3 linked regions of the Elephas maximus indicus genome follow. The protein of the gene in region 3 purifies or fractionates together with the protein of the main gene of each other region. This does not show direct contact. Links are inferred from orthologs where the notes say so. Each region holds a gene or a part of one and is shown on either strand. Other genes may lie near its edges. The genes, in order: NOLC1, ARRB1 and TCOF1.

What was found.
Region 1: the proteins of TCOF1 (region 3) and NOLC1 purify together in Homo sapiens (affinity purification with western blotting; 4 studies listed by BioGRID and IntAct, with this or other methods). This does not show direct contact. The link is inferred for Elephas maximus indicus from reciprocal best matches to the Homo sapiens genes TCOF1 and NOLC1.
Region 2: the proteins of TCOF1 (region 3) and ARRB1 purify together in Homo sapiens (affinity purification with western blotting; 5 studies listed by BioGRID and IntAct, with this or other methods). This does not show direct contact. The link is inferred for Elephas maximus indicus from reciprocal best matches to the Homo sapiens genes TCOF1 and ARRB1.

The regions. Positions count from the first base shown.
Region 1 is NC_064834.1:53,751,739-53,759,086, forward strand, and holds the start of NOLC1 (nucleolar and coiled-body phosphoprotein 1), read left to right. Parts: upstream 1-4,337; 5' UTR 4,338-4,405; coding exon 4,406-4,525; intron 4,526-6,288; coding exon 6,289-6,344; intron 6,345-6,455; coding exon 6,456-6,598; intron 6,599-6,698; coding exon 6,699-6,829; intron 6,830-7,342; coding exon 7,343-7,348. Other genes in the region: PPRC1 (peroxisome proliferator-activated receptor gamma coactivator-related protein 1), read left to right, coding at 1-261, 1,246-1,395, 1,499-1,565, 1,687-1,808, 2,056-2,207, 2,500-2,603. UniProt on the Homo sapiens protein: Nucleolar protein that acts as a regulator of RNA polymerase I by connecting RNA polymerase I with enzymes responsible for ribosomal processing and modification.
Region 2 is NC_064825.1:47,153,203-47,160,248, forward strand, and holds the start of ARRB1 (beta-arrestin-1), read left to right. Parts: upstream 1-4,030; 5' UTR 4,031-4,257; coding exon 4,258-4,277; intron 4,278-7,046. UniProt on the Homo sapiens protein: Functions in regulating agonist-mediated G-protein coupled receptor (GPCR) signaling by mediating both receptor desensitization and resensitization processes.
Region 3 is NC_064820.1:165,574,221-165,581,545, forward strand, and holds the start of TCOF1 (treacle protein), read left to right. Parts: upstream 1-4,260; 5' UTR 4,261-4,317; coding exon 4,318-4,425; intron 4,426-7,050; coding exon 7,051-7,106; intron 7,107-7,325.

The sequences.
Region 1 (7,348 bases), on a different chromosome or scaffold from region 3:
TCCCTGCCGGAATGACATGAACACTAGGATTCCCCCTGCATCCTCAGCCAAGCAGCAGTCAATACGCTGTTATCGAAAAGCCTGCAGGTCAGCCAGCCCCCCAAGCCGGGGCTGGCAGGGCCGCCGCGGCCGCAGCAGCCATTCTATCAGCTCTGGGTCCAACGGGACCAGCGAAGCATCTTCTTCCTCATCCTCATCGTCGTCTTCCTCATCCCGTTCCCGGTCCAGGTCCCTCTCCCCCCCACACAAGAGGTGGCGAAGGTGAGCTCTGGTGGCCTGTTAGGTCCACTCTGTTTAGGAGCTTCATGAACTCCTCTCTGTGGTTTTCTTTTGAAACCTTTTGCACATTAACTTTGATACTTTTAGGCACTAAGGTTTCTGTTTCTGTCTTTGGCGTTTGTCGTCTCCTTTCCTAGATTGTTGAAGGAGACAAACTGGGAAGAAAGCTTCTATCCTGTGTTGGAGTATAGGGTATCCCTGAGGTCCCCTGCTTCCTTGAGACTTGCCTTGGGGAAACTCTTACGGTTCTACCTTGACCATGTTGATCCCCTCACATATCATATTGGCCCTCATTTATGGCATTTTCCTGGTGGTATGTGGGAAGGCGGGATAGTGAGTTGTTAACAGGAAATAGTCCTTCCCTTAATCATCTATTGAGGAAAGAGTTTGGGGCAGTTTCTTTGGGTATCACTGTGGCCTCATCTATTTCTTGGCAGTATCTTTACTCTTAATAATGAACCCAAATTTTCCCACTTAATGAATTCTTGGTTTTTGATGGTGGTAGATGCTTTCAGAAATGGCCCCTGTACAGGTCTAGCATAGTCTTCTCCCCTCAATGCCATGGTCACAGCAGTCCTGTGAGTCATGGGAAGGGAGCAGTAGGCCAGAGACTCAGGTCTGGCCTTAGCACCACAGATAGCTGGCTGTGAGACCAAGGGCCCACTCCTATTCTCTCTGGGTCTTTATCTATTTTTTTTTCTTTCTGATTGTTAAATATTTTTCAGTTTTTAATTGCACAATTGAAGATAAGTATGGTCTTTGTCAAAACATACCAGATATATGTAAAGTTCTCTTGAAGGGCCTCAGTTTGTTCATCTGTGAAGAAAAGTGCTCTTCTAGACATCTGCTCTGCTTTGCCTCTGGTCCTGAGCCTCCAGACAGGGAGGCAGCGCTGGGGCCAGGGTGAGGTAAGTGGAGTATACCTGCACTACTCCAAGCATTCCTGCATGCCCCTTTATCCTCCAGGTCCAGCTGCAGTTCCTCTGGGCGTTCCCGAAGATGCTCTTCCTCTTCCTCCTCCTCCTCATCTTCCTCATCGTCCTCATCCTCCTCGTCCAGTTCTCGAAGCCGTTCCCGCTCCCCATCCCCCCGCCGGAGAAGTGACAGGAGGCGACGGTGAGCATGTTTAGGGAGGCAGTGTACCTGGGATGCAGACACCTGAGAGTTGAGTCTTGGGTTGTCTTGTGTCTGGGGAGCTGATGAAACCTTCTTCTGTCAGGTACAGCTCCTACCGTTCGAGTGACCATTACCAAAGGCAGAGAGTGCTGCAGAAGGAGCGTGCAATAGTGAGTAGAGGAGCAAGTTATGGGAGAAGGAGGAACTTCCCTCTGAGCCATGAGCTCAAAGAGCTGAGTGTAGCTGTGATCCTGGCTCATGGCAGGTCTGTTTTTCCTTGCTCCAACATAGGAAGAGAGAAGGGTGGTCTTTATTGGGAAGATACCTGGCCGCATGACTCGGTCAGAGCTGAAACAGAGGTTCTCGGTTTTTGGAGAGATTGAGGAGTGCACCATCCACTTCCGTGTCCAAGGGTAAGCTTGGGCCCTAGGGTCAGGATGTTCTTTCTGCCTCATTCAGCTACCTTGATGTTTCTTCATCCTTCCCCCTTGCTTTGGTGTGCTGGGCAATGTAGAGCACCTTCATTTCTACGATCAGAGGGTTGGTTATTTGGGGAGTGGGAAGAAGCACCACAGACCCTCTTTGTACCCTGGTGCTGTCACTGCTCCATGGTATGTGCCCAAATGGCCATCCCAGCCCTTGCCTCACCCTCCCCACCAGTGACAACTACGGCTTCGTCACTTATCGCTATGCCGAGGAGGCATTTGCAGCCATTGAGAGTGGCCACAAGCTGCGGCAGGCTGACGAACAGCCTTTTGATCTCTGCTTTGGGGGCCGCAGGCAGTTCTGCAAGAGGAGCTATTCTGATCTTGGTGAGTGCAGGGAGGGCCTGAGGTTTTGGCACATTTCATCGCCTCCCTAGAAGGCTTCCCAAGCCTTTGAGTGTGGGGCTAGGTAGACTTAACCTTCATCTGACATGTGAAGAACCTGAGGGGTGAGATCAGAAGAGAAATGGGGTTCTCCTGTGTCTCTTTGACTTAAAATCAAGGCAGTTTTAACTCCGTTCATTATTGGGATGGGAGGTGGCTAGCCATTTGAGGACCCTGCGGTTGGGAAGCAGTGGTCAGAGACCTTTGAACCCTGACATTTGGTCTTTCTTTATAGACTCCAACCGGGAAGACTTTGACCCTGCCCCTGTAAAGAGCAAATTCGATTCTCTTGACTTTGACACATTGTTGAAACAGGCCCAGAAGAACCTCAGGAGGTAACCCTGGGCTCTCCTCCCCCCCTTTTCTTTGGAGGTGCCCAACCTCCTCCATCCCCCTCCCCCACTCTAGGGGAGAGAGCTGCTAGTGAAGAGATGACTGTTTTATAAAGAAATGGAAAAAAGTGAAATAAAAAATGTGTAAAATCAGATTTTTTAAAGGGTATTTGTTTTTTATAACAGGTATTGAAACAAGATAACTTGCATTCCTATGTAAGATGGTTAGGGCTGAGGGGTTCCCCCAGTGTTCGGAACATCTTAAGTCACTATGCAGACTAATTAATAAACATGAACTAGTGAGAACTCTCAAGTGTGATTGTGTTTCTTTCTTTGATGCTACTGCCAAACATACTTTTCCTTTCTGAACATAATCAGGGATATACTCATGCCATTAAGTTCCTAGGACCTTTCTCTGGTCAGGTACAAAATTCTACTTGACTGACTCCTGAAGTGTGTTGTCTATGAAATCAGCTATCTAAGGCAGTGCATCTCACACTTTAAAGGGCATTTGAGTCATCTGGAGATTGTTTAGAATGCAGATTCTGATTTTGTCCTTTTGGAATTGGGCCTGAGATTCTACATTTCTAACAAGGGGATATTGTTTCACCAAGGATGTAGAGAGAGCTCACACTTGTTGCAAATAAAGGTTTTCTCATTCACCGTCTGTTTTGTTCACCATTTTAGCTTGAGCACAATTCTTGACACACTGCAGGCAGCCAGATGTTTAAAGAATGCGCGTATGTGGACAGATGTGGCCACCTTCTCTCTGGGGAATAGGACTGCTAGAGTTGTATCTAGGGGAGGGGAGTGCCTCTTTTGAGAAAGAGGAAATCCATGAGGAAGTGGATTCTTATCCTTCCTGAGGGGATGCATTAAGAGGAAGTAGTCAAGGGGTAGTGCTTCAGATTGAAGGGATTGTTGTCTGCTAATGTGACTTGAAATACGGCAGAAATTGGAATTTCCTTGGCAGACCTGGGCATTGATATTGGGTTTACTCATGACAAAGGGAGGGGTTCCCCAGTTCTCCCACAGAGAGTTCACAGTGTGAGCTCTGACCCAAGAGATACAAGGTTTATTTTCTGGACTAGGGGTTGGAGGGATTGCTGTGATCCAGAGGTTTGGTGCACTATCCTTTTTCTTTCATGGAGCTGACCTAAGGCTGAGTAATTGGGGTAGAGAGGCCTATGTGTTAGAAATCTGTGGGAGGTGTAGGGCAAGTCATGACAGGAAAGTTGTGGGGATCAACACTTTCATCACCACGGATAACCTGAAGGACAGATGGGAGTCTGGAGGCTAGGGTGGTATCTGAGAAAGGGCCTCCCTGAGTGTTGGAGACAGTGAAGATGAAGAGTGAGAATCCACCTGTAACGAGAATGGGGGCTGTTGGGAAGTCTTGTGACCAAGTCTAGACAGTAGCACAGGTCGAGCCGGCCAGTCCACTCACCAGCTGAGGCGCGGGAATCTGCTCTGAAAGCACCTCCAGCAAAAGGACAGCGCGCGGGAAGCCCAGAGTTTTCCCGCCACGGCAGAGGGCGTGACTCCTGACGTCAGAGCTCCCCTCCTACAAAGTGACGGCCGGCGGGCTCCGCCTTTACCATGATGGCGACACGCGTAGGACCGGAAGAAATTTTTAGATTTCCTCCTTGACCCTACCTCGGAGGCGGAGGTGGGACTGCTATGTAGAATACCACACTTCCGGTATGCGCCCGCGCGGCGCAATGACGTCACGCGAGCCCTCCCCCTTGTGTTCCTGAGTTTCTAAATCGTGCTGCGTGGGCAACCGTAGTGACGCGTGTATCCTGGAGGATGGCGGACGCCGGTTTGCGCCGCGTGGTTCCTAGCGACCTGTATCCCCTAGTGCTCGGCTTCTTGCGCGACAACCAACTGTCAGAAGTGGCTAACAAGTTCGCCAAGGCGACAGGCGCTGTGAGTCCCGGGCTTGGGGCGCGGGTTGGGGAGGGATGACCACAAAGCTCTGGGCCTTGACATGCTTAGGGTTCCGGGTAGGGAGGTATGTGGAATCCGCCAGTCGAGTGTCTGCAGGACCTTTGTGCCGAGCTCTCGGCGGTGACCGGGGAAAGTCCAAAGCCTCGGCACTTCCTTTTTCACGAGGTTTGACTAGATAGCGCTGAGTCTTGTTACATTTTCCTGGTGAGCCGTGCAACGGCTGCAGTGTGGGGCCCGCGTGGTCCAGGTCACGTGGGCTGGCGGTGTTCTTGGGGGAAGCTTGGTGTCCAAGGGTATTGGTGGCGCTTTTTAGGCTTTTCGTTAGCCGAGGGAAAGCGTGAATTGACCTGTAATTCGCAATTGTCCAAGACTTAAAGACGAGTGAAATTGCTTCAGAAATGAAAGCAAGGGTTTTTGTGAGTAAAGAAGAAAATGAACGAAAGTAGAGGCAGGGTTCTGCTCTTAGTGATATTGAAACAAAGGCTGAGTATATCATGGCTCTACCAAGCAGGCATAGCAGTGGGCTTAGAGTTTCGGCTTATGGAATCAAAGTTAGGTTTAAGATCAGGCCCAGAAACCGGGGCAGTTTGACTAACCTCTCTGAGTATTTGTAGTTCTACATCATCCACTTGATAGAATTTTTGTGAGTTTCAGCCAGATGATGTATACAAAGTGGCAATCCTAGTGCCTGATGTGCTGCAAGCATCAATGAGTAAAAACGGTTAATATAGTTATGGTAACTTAGATGCTCCAAACATGTGTAGGAGAAGGATAACCAGGAATATGACAGATTTGGAATCCACATCTCAATGAAAGCAGACATGACTGCATGGGAAAACCCCTGCAGAGAAGGGTAGAATAGTAGTCTTAAGCATGTGTAATAACATGATTGAGAAGGTAGGTTTGTCCTTTGTGGCAGAATCAGTCTTTGAAAGGAGGTGATTAGATCAGCTTCAGAAAGAACTTCCTTAAGCTGGGATAACCTGCCTTGTAAGTTGATATAACTGCCCTTTTTTTTTTTTATTGGATCAATTTTGTATTGACTGTTAGGGGGACTGCAGAAAGTGTTTCCGCAATGGGTTGGATAGAGTTGGGTCTTTCAGAGTTAGAATTCTTTGGTCTTATGAGACAGAAACTATTAATCGTGGAGAGTTTACTAAGGATTGGATGCTAATTCTTTTATATGCATTATTTTTTATCCTATGATCAACTTAATGAGGTGTGTAGTATTATCTTCATTTTATAGAGAAGAAAACACTCTCAGAGATTAAGTTCAGTTCTGTCCTGTAGGGTTGCTATGAGTCGAAATTGACTCGACTGGTAGCTTATTTACTAATTTTCTTTTGGAGTCTTGTTTTCAGCAATTTGGTAGTACAAACCAAACACAGTAAACATTTTCTTGTATAAATGTTTGTGCCCTTGTTTTATGAGTAAGGATACATTCCTAGATGACACATTGGTAAAGAGAATGCATGTTTTGTAAGGTTTTGATAGTGGATAAATAGGCAGGAAGATAGATAGTACCACAAACCACAGGAATGCCCCAAGTTTTGGGAAATATACAAATGGAATTTTTTTTTCCTTAATGTGTGCAAGTAGGAGCAGTCTTATGAAAATTTAATGTTTGTACTAAATTTAGTCACAGGATTAGTAGGTAGCATTTAAAGCATAACGGAACATTTGATCTCTCCTAAAATAACCAGTATAAAATTTTGCTTGGCTCTTTTTCTTTTCCCCTACAGACCCGTCAGGATGCCAACGCCTCTTCCCTCTTGGACATCTATAGTTTCTGGCTCAAGTAAGCTTTCCCTGTTCCACATTGTCTGTATTCTCCCACTGGGCGATTTGGGCTGTGTTCCTTGGTTTGGGAAGGTCCTGGTGCCCCAGAAGTTAGCATCATTGACTTTAGCAGGTCTGCTAAGGCCCCAAAGCGGAAGTTACAGGCAAATGGGCCAGTAATTCAGAAGGCTAAGAAGAAGACTTCATCCAGTGACAGCAGTGAGGATAGCAGCGAGGAGGAAAAAACCCAAGTGCCTCCAGCTAAAAAGGCTGGTAAGGCAGGGCAGGGGGCTTGGGGTGGTGGTTCCAGGAAAAGGATTTGTAGCCTTTCTGTTCCACATGGCTAACTCTTACTGGTGCCTGTGCTGTTCAGCTATAGCTGCCAAGCAGGCCAGTCTTCCTCAGCATCCTGGAAAGGCTGCAGCCAAAGCATCAGAGAGCAGCAGCAGTGAAGAATCCAGTGACGAGGAGGAGGAAGAGGACAAAAAGAAGAAGCCTGTCCAGGTTTGCAGTTTTGGGAAAGGAAGGGGTTGCTTATGGAATTGGAAAGAAACCTAAATTCTTGACTTCTAGCTTGTGACCAAGAGGTGGTGCTGGGTGTGAGGCAGGTGACTGTGAGGAAGAAAATCTAGTGACTTTCTGGGAGGTAATAGAAGTATGAGGTCCGGAACGGATGTGCGAAGATGAAGTTGGGCTTCAAATCTGGAGGTATTTTTGCTTCTCTGATTGACTGTCTGGGGCTCTGACAATAAAAGAGAGAGCATTTAGTAGATAGGTACTGGAAACTCTTGGCAGGGGCCAGCAGGGATAGAACTGATACGTCAAGTGGCTGAACTTTTGTTTCTCATTAACAGTTGGTTGCCTTTTTCATCTGCTTTTCTCCTCAGCTTTCCCTTTCTCTTGCTGCTCCATTATCTGTTAAAAAATAAAAAGGGCTTAGAAAGCCCTGTACACTAGGATGTCCTTTGAGTACCCAGAAGTACTTGCTGATTGCCCTACTTGTGTGTTTCCTAACAGAAGGAA
Region 2 (7,046 bases), on a different chromosome or scaffold from region 3:
ATATTCCCTAGCATGACACTTCAGGCTCTGCATGGGCTCTTGCCTGCTTCCCAGCTTTACCGAGGAATATTTACAAGGGAGAATTCTGGGACTGGGTTGCTACGGATTGAAGTGGGCAAGGGAGGTGTCCAGGATGACATCCAGATTTGCGGTTGGGGCAGAGGTGGTGAAGGTCCTTAGTTTCTTATCTACTAACATCTCAAAGGGCTGTCAACCTCAAATCCTTTGTTGAACAAGGAGCTGAAAACTCATCCACTTACCCATCCACCCACCTATCCATCCACTCTTCAATCTGACATTCAACGACATGACCAGGTAAGCAGATGCTTTGGGTTTGAGCCCAATCTTTACCTTTCATTTACTATATCATTGGCCTAGGCCCTTTCCCTCTTAAAGCCTCTGCTTTCTCATATATGAAGCAGGAATAATACTTCATTTCTCTCTCTCTTTTTTTGGGTAAGGGATTATTATTAAGTGGTAAATTTCAGGCATATGTCTGGCCCAAGTTGAGACATAGTCGGAGATGACCAACTCCTATGGACCTCAGTAATAGAATCCTTTTGCCTTTTAGAAAAATCACTCTGGTGTTCAGCTAGAGGATGTATTAGAAATGGATTGAGATGGGAAGGAAGGAGTACTCCAGTCCTCACAACCTCACTTCCCATATGTGGGGATGTAGCCTGTGTGGACGCTGGAACAAACAGGCCCTGCCCCAAATCTCTGAGTCATTTGGATTCTCCACAGTCCACTGACAACGCCTCAGCAGGTGCTGTTGGCTCTGCCTCCAAATATATCTGAACTTCTTACTTCTTTTCATTTCTGTGCCACCATACTAGCCCAAACCACCACCCACTCTTTCTTGGCTACTACAATAATGTGGCGCCCTGTATCTGCTCTTGTCTCAATCCAAGTTGTATCCATTCAACAGCCAGAGTGACCTTTAAAATGTAAAGCAGATACTGTTACTCCTGCCTAAACCCTCCACTGGCTCCCTGACTCCTCACCCGCACCTATAAAGCATTACCTGATCTGACCCCCGCCAGCTTCTGGTCTACCACTCCTTCCTTCCCTGTTCACCCAAATCCAGCCACATAGTCCTTGTTCTTGCCCATTAGAAAGGCCAAGCTTTTGTACTTGCTGCTCCTTCTTCCTGGGAAGCTCTTCCCTTGACTCTTCACATCGCTGGTTCCTTACCTACAGGTTTTAGCCCAAATGTCATCTCCTTGAAGAGCCTTTCTGTAAGTACACTGGCCCCCAGGCACTCTATTTTATTACCATTTTATTTTCTTCATAATACTTATTACTGTCTTAAATCATGTTATTTATATTTATAGAGTTCTCCTCAATGTCACTATTTTTAAGTGTATATTAATTTTGATTTTACAGGTAATACCAGAATACATTCTCCATAGAGCCTGACATATTATCAGGAGGGATCAATCCCTGAAGACTGACATTATGCTCGGTAAAATAGAGGGCCAGCGAAAAAGAGGAAGACCCTCGATGAGATGGATTGACACAGTGGCTGCAACCATGGGCCCAAGCATAGCAATAATTGCCAGGATGGTGCAAGACCAGGCAGTGTTTTGTTCTGTTGTGCATAGGGTCACTATGAGTCAGAACAGGCTCAACAGCATCTAACAACAACAACAACAGAGCTTGACAGGTAAAGCAAAATACTCTTCTTACTCCTCTTCCCCCAGCTTAGATTCCTCATTGAAATGAAAGCCGCATTTGTCTTCTTGGCCACTGATTTTTAAGTTCCTAGAACCATGCTTAGCACATAGTGGGTCTTCAATAAACTGTTATTGAATGAAGAATAAATTGTGGGTTAAATTCTGGTCTACTATGTATTAGCTCCGTTTTGGGGAGGGCACAAGGAAGGGAGGTCCAAAGGAGGCTATGGACTCAAGCAAATTACTTAGCTTCTCTGAGCATCCATTCACTCATTTATAAAATGGGGAAAAGAATATTTATTTCACATAATTTTGAGCCTCAAGTAGTGCCAGACACACCATACACCCCCTCATGAAGTTTACAGGCTAGTGGAGATGTACTGGAAACCTTGACTGTTGACTCCATAGTCTGCCAATCTGTTCAATGTCCCTACAATGCTAGAGTCAGGCTTCTCAAACCGGCTGGAAAGAGCTGTTCTGGATTGGGTGTGGGGGCGGGGAGCCCAAAACCATCTGATGCATCTTCCTAGACTGTTTATTTTACTTGAACGTAATTAAAAATGTGATTTTTGTAGTAAAATGAACATAAGTATTTATTGAGTGGAATTAAGAATTTGCCTGACAAATGTATTGCATGCATTTTTATAACAATTAAAAAAAAAAAAAAAGTCAGGAAAAAAAGTCTGCCTGAATTTTTAAATAAAGTTCAAAGGTGCTTTAGCATCAGCATGGGGAGAGCCACTGGAGACCATGTGGTTTGGTCGAACCCACGCTTTAGAAGTGGGGAGCTTGGGGTGCAGAGAGTGGTAAGACCTGGCCTGTGCATCCTGTTAGGGTCCTCTCTGGCTCACCCAGTGAGTCTCTTGTCATCATAGGAGAACTATGGTCTGCTGTTCTCAAGATTCCTGACCCCTGCAGAAACAGCAGGGGCTTCCCCTTCTTTCTCTTTGGAAGGAGAATGGGGCCCAGAGGTCAAGGCCTGGAGGAGGGTTCTAGGCCTAAGTGCACACTCTCCTTGCACCTAGCATTGCCTGGAGCCTGGACCACCCTGCCTGCCCATCAGTTCACCCCTCCCAATCTAGACATAATTATGGTAATTATACTGGGATATCATTACCCAACTATATATAAAACCAGCATAGGTAACTGCTTCTGAGCATAATTACAGGAGATGTTTACAGACCCACAATCGCATCAGAGTAAATGATAGCTTCCTTTCCTCCCACTAATACGCCAATATTAGGGACCCATCAGGGCCAATTAGCCAAATCCCAGCAGAGCGGGGGTGGAAAAGACCTCACACTCTCCCACTACCTACAAATCAGGGTCTCAGCCAGCCATTTCCCTGGACACCAAGAAGTCTGGAGAGGGATGAGCCAACATTTACTGGGTACCTACCGTGTGCCAGGCCCTCAGGGGGAGTCCGGCAAACACAAGCAAATTTTTAAAATCTATGAACAATTCTGAGGGACAGTATTGGTATTCCCACTTTAAAGATTTGGAAGTTGGCACTGAGAGGCCTGTTGTCCAGGGTCACCAACAGCTGGTGGTGGAGCTGGACCAGAGCGCCTTCCACGATGCTACCGGGCCAGGCCAGCCTCCTGGCTCGCAGCCCCGAAGGTTCTTTGCTCCCTTCACATACTCCTTATCTCCTCCTCTCACAGCTTCCTCTTCCCGCTGCCCTGCTCGCCTCCCGCCCCCTTCCACCCTCATCAGTTCCCCAATATCGATGTTGTTTTCGCCTGCCCTCTCTGTCCCTTCTTCCTGCCTCTATTGGGTGGTTGGGTGTTATCTCTCAAGTAGGGGGTTGCATAGGGCGAGGGCCTTGCCAGGCATGCGGAGTCTCAAGCCAATTCCCTTCACCCCCGCCGGGGGGCGCCGCCAGGGGCTTGGCCCCGGGGTGCGCCGACCTTCGGCTTCCACCCACAAGCACACACAAAGGCTGTCTCCAGTGTGCGCGGGACAGCTCACTAGTACCCACGGCAGTGCGTACACACGCACAACTGCATGAAGACGTGCACACTCCTCCATCCACACAAATACACTCCCAAATAGGCCCGCGCACACCGCCGTGTCCACGCACTGCAAGGCGGCATATACTCTCGTGTGCACACACCGCACACATATACCCAAGCCGGCGTGTATCTTCACGCACACACACACGTACGCGCACACAGTTGGGCACGCACCCTTGTATACCGGCAAATGCAGACCTCGGGGCCCTGACGTGTATCGCTGCCCTGCCCTCGCGGCTCTCTGGGCGGTGCACGCGCGCGCGCGCGCGCGCACACACACACACGCACGCACTCACACACAGATACACACACGCACACACACACACACGGACAGACACACCCCGGTCGGCTCCACGCCCCTGGCCGCGGCCCGGGCTCTGCGCGGCGCGGCGCTGCTGGGCTGCAGGCGGGGACCTGGACGAGGGCGGGGGAGGAGGCGGTGGCCGGGCGAGCAGAGGAGGCGGAGCAGGCAGTCGGGAGCGGGCTGGCCCGCACTCCTCCTGCCGGCCGGGGATTTTCCAGCCGGTACGCTGAAGCCGTGGACCTCCCTGCCGCCGCCACGGACCATGGGCGACAAAGGGACACGGTGAGTGCTATCGGTGGCCTGGTCTGGCGCGCGGGGGGGGCGGCCTAGGCGATAGCAGAGGCGAAGGTTGTAGTCCGCGTCCTGGCGCTGCGTTTGCAGTCACTCCAGGACCGCTGACGCCTGAGTCCGCGGGACCCTGCTCACCTCTGCCAGGGGTCTCTTGTGTGGTCACTGGCAGGGGCCGCAGGCGGGGGTACCCAGAGGGTGAGGACCGGGCCGCCCCAGCTGCCTCGCGGCTCCTTACCGAAACACACACACACTCACTCACGCGCTGACACCCAGCCCTGGCCAGGCAGGCGCAGAGACGCATGGGGGCAGGTTGACACACAATGGCACACACTCATGTGGACACACGGGGCACACGCACTCATGGGCACACTCATGACAGCACACACAATGACATCCACTGTCACACACTTATCACATATAGTGACACACTGTCACACACTCCCAGATACACACTGTGGTATACATTTGGCAACACATTCATGCTGACAGTCATGCTGGCATAGGTGGGTACACACCTAAACATAGAAACATTAATACCTCATGCTGGCGCACAAACATTGGCCCTCAGTGACACACATGCACACTGTCACTTGCACTCACTGTAATACTTTTACTGGCACACGCGTTGTCACCCTCACTGACCAGACACACCTGTGCTAGCACAGATCTCACCAACACGGTGGAACGCAAGACCACACCAACACTGACCCACACAGACACACGTCAGACTGATGCCCACACAGACTGGCACCCCATAGGCACCAGCAAGCGACCACGGGGCTGCTGACACACTCCCTCCAGTCCCCACATGGTAAGAAATGGAAACACATATACATCACACAGGGTGGGGGCGCCTCGCCTGGAGCCTGGGAAAAACAGGTCCTATGGACTCTTTTCCTTTCCCTCTGACCTCCTGAGGCCTGGGGTGGCTGGCCAGGATCTGTTTTGAGCTAGAGATGGGGAGAGGGGCTCCTAGATAGGAGCCTGCCCTAGAAGATTAGACTAGGAACCAGAGAAGTTATGCATCTGAAACGGGAAACTGGGACAAAAGGGGCAGGGGCGGGGGCTGGGGCAAGGTAGCCCCTGGGAACAGCCCTGTGGGACCAAGACAAGCCCTGGTCTGGTATTCAGCTTTGTCACCCTGCTTCTATCTCTACCACTCTTTCCGCCCCCTTAGGTTCTGCTAGCAGTCTCTCCCTTGTCTCTTCCTCTTTCCTACCCCTTTTTGCTACTTGGACTTTTTCAATTGTCCCTTCTTTACCTTCTATCCCCGGTCCCACTTCTCCCCCCCTCCTCCCTCCCTCCATTCTCTTTCCCTCAGCCCTCCCTCCCTCTCTCTCCTTCTTTCCAGCAATTATTTATTGAGAGCCTACTGTGTACTAGGCACAGTGTGGGGTCAAAGACTTGCAAGATGCATTCCTTCCCGGAAGGAGCTAACGGACTAGAGAGAAACCGCACTAGTGGTCGTCACCTTCCGGACCACTGACAAAGCAGTTTCTTACCCACTGCCTTCTGAGATCTCAGTAGCAGGAGAAAGGTCCTACAGAAATTATTTCCATTTTCTGGAAGAAGAAACTGAGGCTCAGAGATAACTTATCCTTTTAGTGTTTAGAAACTGCTTCTCCACCATTCTCCTGACAGCTCTTCCAGGAGGTTAATTTTCCTTTTCCCGTTTTCCAAAAGATGAACTGGAGCATTAGAGAGGTCACCTGGCTTGCCTAAGGTCAAGAGGGGTCAGAGGCAGGGTAGAGGCTGGAACCCACCTGCTCTGTTTCTCTGTGGCTCCCTTTTGGGCATTGCCAAGCCCCTCATGGGCCCTGGGTTGGGGAGACAGGGTGGCGTACCTTGCTCTGTGTGTGGGGCCCAGGCTTATGGGGGAAGCTGCGAAAGGTCACAGAGCATCTGCATTCACCCTGACGGCTACTCTCCATCAAAGAAGGCCTGGCCAGCACTGTGTCCAGCTGTCTGTCCTCAGCAGGAGGGTGTGTGACTCCTGCGTTCTCCCTGCAGGACACAGTGGGGGCCAGGAGTCATAGCTCCTGTCCTGTGTTCCGCCAGTGCTGCTTCATGATCAGGGTGATTCAGCCCCTCTTGGGCCTTGGTTTGCCTCTTGGTGACTTGGGGAGAAGTGTCATTGCTCCCCTGCTGGCTTGTTGGCAGAATGCGTTCACCATGAGCAGTCAGGCCCCAATGGGCACCTGTTGGAGACCCTGTCTCTGGAGCCAGGGCTTTTTCCATCACTCCTCCACTGTGCCTCTAATTCGGTACAGAAACTCGGGGACCTTGGGCAATTGCCTTCAGCTTTCTGGACCTCAGTTTTCCCATCTGTAAATTGGAGCTGTGAATTGTGCTTATTGAGTTCACAGTGTGTGGATTCCTTGCGCTTACTGAATCCACTGGGAGGAAAGATGGCCCTGACTGAAGTCTAGAGCCAAGGCCTGGCTAAACTCCACCAGATGATCCTCCCTTCAGCCACCACCACAGTCCCAGGAGGCCTCTCTCTCCCTTTCCAGACAGGTAATCTGAGTAATTTGGTAGAAAAGGGCAAAATCAATAATGGGCCATGCCCTGCCTTGTTTCCTAAGCCTTAGGATTCTACTTGATGACTTAGAAGAGGAAACTGCCAATACCCAATACTCTAAGGATCAGGAGCCATCACGTGCATCCCTCTGCCTCAGATTGCACCCCCTGTATGAAAGTGACAATACAAATTAATCAGAAACTGCCACTGACCTCTAGGAACTCCCAGGACCAAGGGTG
Region 3 (7,325 bases):
CCTGGGCATCATCGCAAATTCTAGCTGCCAGCCCTCCCTGACCTCAGGCTTTGGTTCTAGGCCTCGTCGTGGCCCAGTCCACAAAGCTTTCCACTATTTCCCTGAAAACTAACCCCATCTGCCTTCAATTCCTTTCCTACCCAGCCTAGATCCCAGAGTCCAGCGATTCAGCATCTCTTTTGCCAACACTTTAGACCCCTATGCCTTTTCCCCCACTCATTTGGCAAAACTCTAGGCCTGGAGTAAGTACCTTCCATTTGCCTGCATCTGGGCAGCTGAGCCCTGCTGAAGGAAATCACTCAGCAAAACAAGACAGGACTCACATAAATGAATGACCACCAGCCTCAACAGGGTTGTTAACACTACCAGGCAGTTGTGTTTTTTGTGGGCAAGTTGCTTCTCAACTCTGAATGATCACTCTCCTCCTTCCTTCAAGCTCCTCACCACCTCTTCTTCCCTCTCAGCAGAAGACCTTGCCTCCCACTTTGCAGAATAAATAGAAGCTGAACATGAAATCTCCCTCAGCATCCCACTGCAAACCTACATCTACATCTGCACCGTCCTCTCTTTGTTCCCTCTTTTGGTTCTGCAGAAGTCATCCCTCCTCCTCTCTAAGACCAACCCTCCACCTACACGCCTGATCCTATCCCCTGGCACATGCTGGTTGAAGACTACTCCATGATTATCTCCCCTATTTCTTACACCCTTGATTAATCTCTCCCCTTGATCTGCCACTAGTTTTAAGCAGACTCGGGTCTCCTCCACCTTAAAACACACCACCTTCCAACACACACATTGACCACATCATTTGTCTCCTCCCCATTCACACAAACACACACACACATGCCAACAAAAGACCCACTGCCTCCTTCATCTCCCCTCCACTCATCAGACCACAGCCATCTGACCCTCACTCCACAGAAGTAGCACTCTCTCAGGACACCAATGGAGTCCTGGGGTGGTATAAACAGTTAATGAACTTAGCTGCTAACCAAAGTTTGGTGGTTCAAGTGCACCCAGAGGTGCCTCGGATCTACTTCTAAAAAATCAGCCATTGCAGCCCTATGGAGCACAGTTCTACTCTGACACACATGGGGTCACCATAAATCAGAATCAACTCATTTGCAACTGGTTTTAAGGCTACCAGCAATCTCCATGCCTGTCATGAAATTGAGGCCCACTGCTCATTCCTCACCATTGGTTCATCCTACTCATCTCTCTGGCTCCTCATTCTCAGGCTTTGCAGCCTTTTGTTGCTGCTGTTAGCTGCCAAGTTGGCCCCTGACTTATAGTACCCCATGCACAACAAAACTAAACTCTGCCTAGTCCTGTGCCATGATTAGTTGCAGACTGAACCATTGTGATCCATAGAGTTTTCATTGGTTGATTTTCAGCAGTAGATTGCCAGGCTTTTCTTCCTTGTCCATCTTTAGGCTGGAAGCTTTGCTGAAACCTGTTCAGCATCATAGCAACACACAAGCTTCCACTGACAGGTGGTGGCTGTGCATGAGGTCCATTGGCCAGGAATCGAACCTGGGCCTCCCACATGGAAGGCAAGAGAATTCTACCACTTAACCACCAACATAACCCCCTATCTCTCTTTAGGAAGACCTAACCTGTGGGCATGTCTCAAAACTCCACCCTGGGCCACCTTGTCTTCTCCCTCTACCTTCGGCTCCCTGGACAATCTTGTCCTCAACCACAGTCTCAATTATCATCTCTCTGGGGACAACTTCCCACCTTCATCTCTAGCCCAGACCTCTGTACTGAATCCAAAGCCAGGTTTCTACATGCCTATTCCACATCCACACTTGGTGTCTCAGTGGCATTTCAAGCTCAACATGTCTAAAGTGGAACTTAAACTTTTCACCTCCTCCTTCATACCGCCCCTCCTCGCTCATCCTCGCTCAACTCTCTCACCCCAGTCCTCTTCCAGTTTTTCCTATCTTGGTGAAAGTTACTGTCCACCTGTTTGCACAGAAACCTCAAAGTCCATCCTGACTTCCTCTCCTCACCCTCCTATTCCAGCACATCTCTATGATGATTTTACTTCCTGAATAACTCTAGGAAACTTCCACTGCTCTCCAACTCCACTGCCATCCCCCCATCCCTCACTTTGGCCACCATTATATCCCTTCTGGATGCCTCTCTGCACCCCTAACCCTAACCAGTCTTCCCTCATTTACTTAGATGCTTTCTACTCAACTCTCTAGCGGGCATTTACACTGGTCACCCTTAATGTGGCCAATCCTGAATGGAGAACCTGCCCTCTGCTCACCTTCTGCACTTCCCAAGCTACAAAGACCTTCCCTTCCCTCTCCTCTCAGTTGCACTCCTGCCGCAGACCCTTTGAAAAGGTTTTTCCTTCTGCCCAGGATTCTTCCCCCCACCCCACCCTCCCCTAGCCATAGTTCAGATTTCCTCACAAACCCTATTTCCTCAGGGAACCCTTCCCTAACCCCCAAGAAAAGGTAGATCCCTCCCTCCTGTTAAATGCTTTTGCAATAATAGGTAACACATGCACACAGTATTTACTGTTAGGAGTTCTTCTAAGCATTTCTGCTTGATATTCATTTACTCCTCAGGACAACCCTATGAGGTAGAAATTATAATTATCTCCATTTTACAGATGAAGTAACTGAGGCCCAGAGAACTTATATCACTTACCCAAGGTCACCTAGTCAATAAGAGGCAAAGCCAGAATTTGAACCCGGGAGGTGCAATTCCAGCAGCTTTTCAACATTATACTACTCAGTGAGGAAATATTATCTTTTTCCTTCCTGCACTTATTGGAGTTTGTAACAGTGTATTTGTATGAGTATTTATTTAACATGCATCTCCCGCATTAGACTGTAAGCTCTGTGGGGTAGAGACTGTTTCACCCCCAACCATAGGTGCTCAACGAATATTTGTTAAATGGCTGAAAGTAGATTAGTCTTCTCCTCTTCCTCACTCACCACACCCAATCAGTTACCTGGTCCTGTTCATGTTTCTTCCTGGAGCGGAGTTTCCTAACCCTAGCAAGTTTAGGTACGTGCTTATCTGTGTCCTGAAATTGGGTGGAAAATCCGATGTGTCCGTAAAAAAAAAAAAAAACACACTTTCAAAATTTTCTAGAGCAAGGGCTGTGCTTCCTGCTGTCATCAGATTCTCAAATGGACCCAAGAGGTTAGGACTAGCTGACTCAAATATTCCCCAGCCCAGCTCACCCTCTCCCTGCCACCTCCCCTCAACACTACAACAGCCCACATCTAGTTTTGTTCCCCACAAATCCGTCTTCCATGCTTTGGTCATAGCAATCTTTTCACAATGCAAAACCATATCACACTCTTGCATAAAGCCAAGGGGAGGCTGTCCATTGTCCTTGGAACAAAGTCTGAACTGCTGGGATTGAAGAGGGTTTTGTAGGCCCTGTCTGCTTCTCCTCATGTGTCCCCAGTTGTTTCCTCTTCCCCCAACTCTACAGACAAGCAGCACAGAACCAGGTTCTGTGCTCTGGATTCCCAGCCTACACCAGGTGGTTTCTTATGCCTATACTCATGCGTTGCCCTCTTCTTGGGATGCCAATACTCTAAACCTAGAAATTTCTACTCCACCTTTAAGATTCAGTTATTTTAAACTCCTCCTTGGGGTTAGATACCCCTCCTCCGTGTTCCCATAGGCTGTTCCTATTCCTGACAACTGCACACGAGGCGTTGAACTGTAGTTGCTTGGTTACCGACTGTCTCTCTCTGCCCTGCAAGCTTTGAGGGCGGCCGCCATGTCTTATTCATCTTTTTATTCCCTCTGCCTAGCCCAAGGTACGGTACTTATTTGTTCAGTAAGTAAATTAATATATGAATAAACTAATAACAAACAGTGCCTGGTTCATAGATCCTAAAAAAAAAAAACGTGTGAAAAGAGTAAATGAGCGGGCAACTGGAATTCGAGTTTAGAAAAGATGCAGATTAGGGCGTTCAGAGATGAATAAAGCCCAGTCGCAGCGGTCATACAAATCACTTCAAGGAACAAGTCTAAATAAAGGATTCCCAGGAGGGAGTCCTTCGTAGCATGGCCCAACCAGGAGGCGGGGCCAGATCAAAGCCCTCCCATTCCCTCTGCAATCGGAGATCTCTTGCCTTCTGAGCCTCCGCCCCTTTCACCCTCCAGGACCTGAGCGGCCGCTCAAGGATAAAAGACTACATTTCCCGGAGTGCCATGCGGCTGTGGCGAAGGAGGAGCCGGAAGTGGGGTGCGCGAGGTCTAAGGGCAAGAGGGAAGTGGCGGGCGGGGACTGGGGGGGCGTGCAGGTGAGCGGAGTAGCCAGGGGTCGCGGGCATGGCCGAGGCCAGGAAGCGGCGGGAGCTGCTTCCCCTGATCTACCAGCATCTTCTGCAAGCGGGCTATGTTCGCGCAGCGCGGGAAGTGAAGGAGCAGAGCGCCCAGGTGAGCTTGCGAGTGCCGTGTGCGAGGCCCACGTGCAGGATCGGCAGCGCAGCAGCTGGTGCCCCCTACCCAGGCGACAAGATGGGTGCCCAGACCCGGATTCTCCTGTTCTCAGGGACGCGGGCCGGGGGAGCTCTAGTAGCTACAGCCTCAACCATCGCTGCAGCTCTTACTCTCTGTAGGCCTCAGTTTACCCATCTGTGCAGTGGGCGGGCCGGGACCGGTGATCCAACGCTTTAGGGCTTTTGTAATTCCCGCGCCGCTCGCCTCTGCTCCCTTCCTGGGAGCAGCAGTTTAAAGTTTCTTAAGTCTCAGACCACGTGGCCCCGCGCGGCCTCCTGGGGCAAGTAGTTGGCCACGGGTTTGAGGGGCGAATTGTGACCACCTCCAGGAGGGACCGCCAAGGGAAGGGGCTCCACAGTAGAGCAGGAACTCAGACCTTTAGAGAGCCTCTGTACAGAGTTGGACAGCTTTGGGGTTAGAACTGGTGGCGCAGTCTTTTCTCACTTCATTCATTCAGCAGCTGTTAACCTGCTGGTGATAGAATGGCGGTCTCGGTCCTTCAGCCCCAGTGGAGTTTACGATCTAGTAGAGGAGACAGACACAAATCACGAAAGTACCTGTAAACTTAACACTACATGAAGTTACAAGAAGGAGAGGCACAGCGTGCTAAAACAGTGTATGGCAGGTTGCCCTTGTCTCAAGAGATACCTGAGACTGCTGCCCTCAGGAAGTCACTGTTGATTTGAGATCTGAAGGGGGAAGGTGAATATTCCAGGCAGAGGTGCAAATGCCCCGTGGTAGAAGAGAGGTTGATTTTGTACATACTGACCTCAAGAAAGGTCCCTGAGGCTACAGCACGGAGGACCAGGGCAATAGAGGTCCCCAGAGAGATGAGAGAGGGAGGTGGGGGCTGGCCCAAGCAGGTCTTGTAGTTAGTTTGGTCTTAAGCCAAAAAGCAGTGGGAAGCCACTGGAAGGTTTTAAACTGGTGACTGAGGGGGCCTGATTTGTCAATATCCCAGGGCCTCCTGAAGGGATCAAAGGGTGATGGGCCCTGAGATGTTATCTATGCTTTTCCCAATCCTCCCTGAGCCTTGGAGCGTATGCCTAGGAAAATTGTCCTGCCATCCTGGAACATACATTCCAGCAAACGACATGTAAAAAGTAAGTTAGTGGTACAGAGTGTCATGTGATAATAGGTGAGGGCTATAAAAATTAAGCAGCAAGGGTGATTAAGGAGTGTCAGGGGTGCAATTGTAAATTGGGTAGTCAAGGAAGCCTGACTGAAAAGGTAACATTTTGGGCAGAGACCTAAAGGAAATGAGGGAGTGAGCTATGTAGTTAGCAGGAGAGAGAGCATTCCAGACCCTGGTAGGGGTGGAGTAGGGGGTGGCCTGCCACATTTAAGGGACAGTGAGGAGGCTGGTGTGCTTGGGTGGGAGCAGAGTGAGGCTAATACGTGCTGTCTCAGATGTTATGGAATGTCTTAGTTATCTGGTGCTGCTGTAACAAATACCACAGGTGGGTGGCTTTAACAAACAAAAATTTATTTTCTCATAGTTTAGGAGCTAGAAGTGTGAATTCAGAGCTCCAGCTTTAGGGGAAGGGTTTCTCTCTCTGTTAGCTCTGGAGGAAAGTCCTTGGCTCTTTTTAGCTTCTGTCCTTCCCTTAGTGATCATCATGTGTCTTGGCATCTGTCATGCCCCATCTCGGCTTCTTTCCCTTGCTTGTTTAATCACTTTCATATCTCAAAAGGACTTAAGACACACCTGCCTCATTAACATAACAAAGGCAACCCATCCCAAGTAGGATTATAACCACAGGCATAAAAGTTAGGATTTACAACACATATTTTTGGAGGACACAATTCAATCCATAACATGGAAGGGACCTGAATTTGGAAAAGTTAGCCCAGGGTTACCTAGTCAGTTAACAGAGAACTGACTCCAATCCAGGCCTGCCTGACCCCTGGAACACACTGTTGGCCACTCTGCCCAGCCACCTGAGCTCTCCACCCTCACCCCACACTGCTCACCCAGCCTCCTTGGAACTTGAGGTGCTTGGCATTTCCAGAGTTGGCCTTCTGTCCTCAGTTCCAAAGTCCTGGATTCCACCTGGTGTTCTCTGCTTCCACCAAGAGACTGGCACCATTTGGGCCCAGCCTCTTCATAGTGAACTGCTAGACTGAGGTTGTGCCGCTGGAATGCCTTGGGTATCTGGACTATGGTTCATACTGTCTGGGGAGATCCACCAGCCAAACTTTTGAAGGCCTCTTGAAAGGTCAAGGGTGGAAAAAGCCCCATCTTATGGCCTGTGAGGGTGAAGAGTACCAGAGAGGCCAGGAGCTGGGTGAATGCTAGCCTGGAACACTCCAGCTCCAGCCTCTCAAACGTGCCTCTCACCAACATGTCTAAAAAGGTTTTAGCTGGAATTGCTTGGCTTGATTGTTTCTGGAAGGTTTTGAATGGTATTGGCAGGGCTAAACAGACATGTTTCTCAGAGCAAAAAGACTCCCTTCTCAACCACCTGTCTGTTCTCATGTCATGAGGTCAGGCAGAGTTGGGACCAGGGAAGGCCTCCCCTGCTGGGAGGTTAATTGCTACCTCTCTTTATCTCTCTGCAGAAAAGTTTCCCGACTCAGCCGGTCACCCTTCTGGACATCTACACACACTGGCAACAGTGAGTTTGGTGGGGCTGAGGGTGGAGTAGGGGCACCCCAAGCAATTGGCTTGGAATAAGTCAGGAAACTAACCTGATCTAAGATGGGTCCCCAAGCCCACTGTGGACATAGCTCCCAGAAAGCCAGATCACATGGATAGATATTTCTTTTGATCAGCATTTATTAAGCACCTACTGAATGCCAGGCCCTGTTCTAAGTATGGAGATACTGTGATGAAT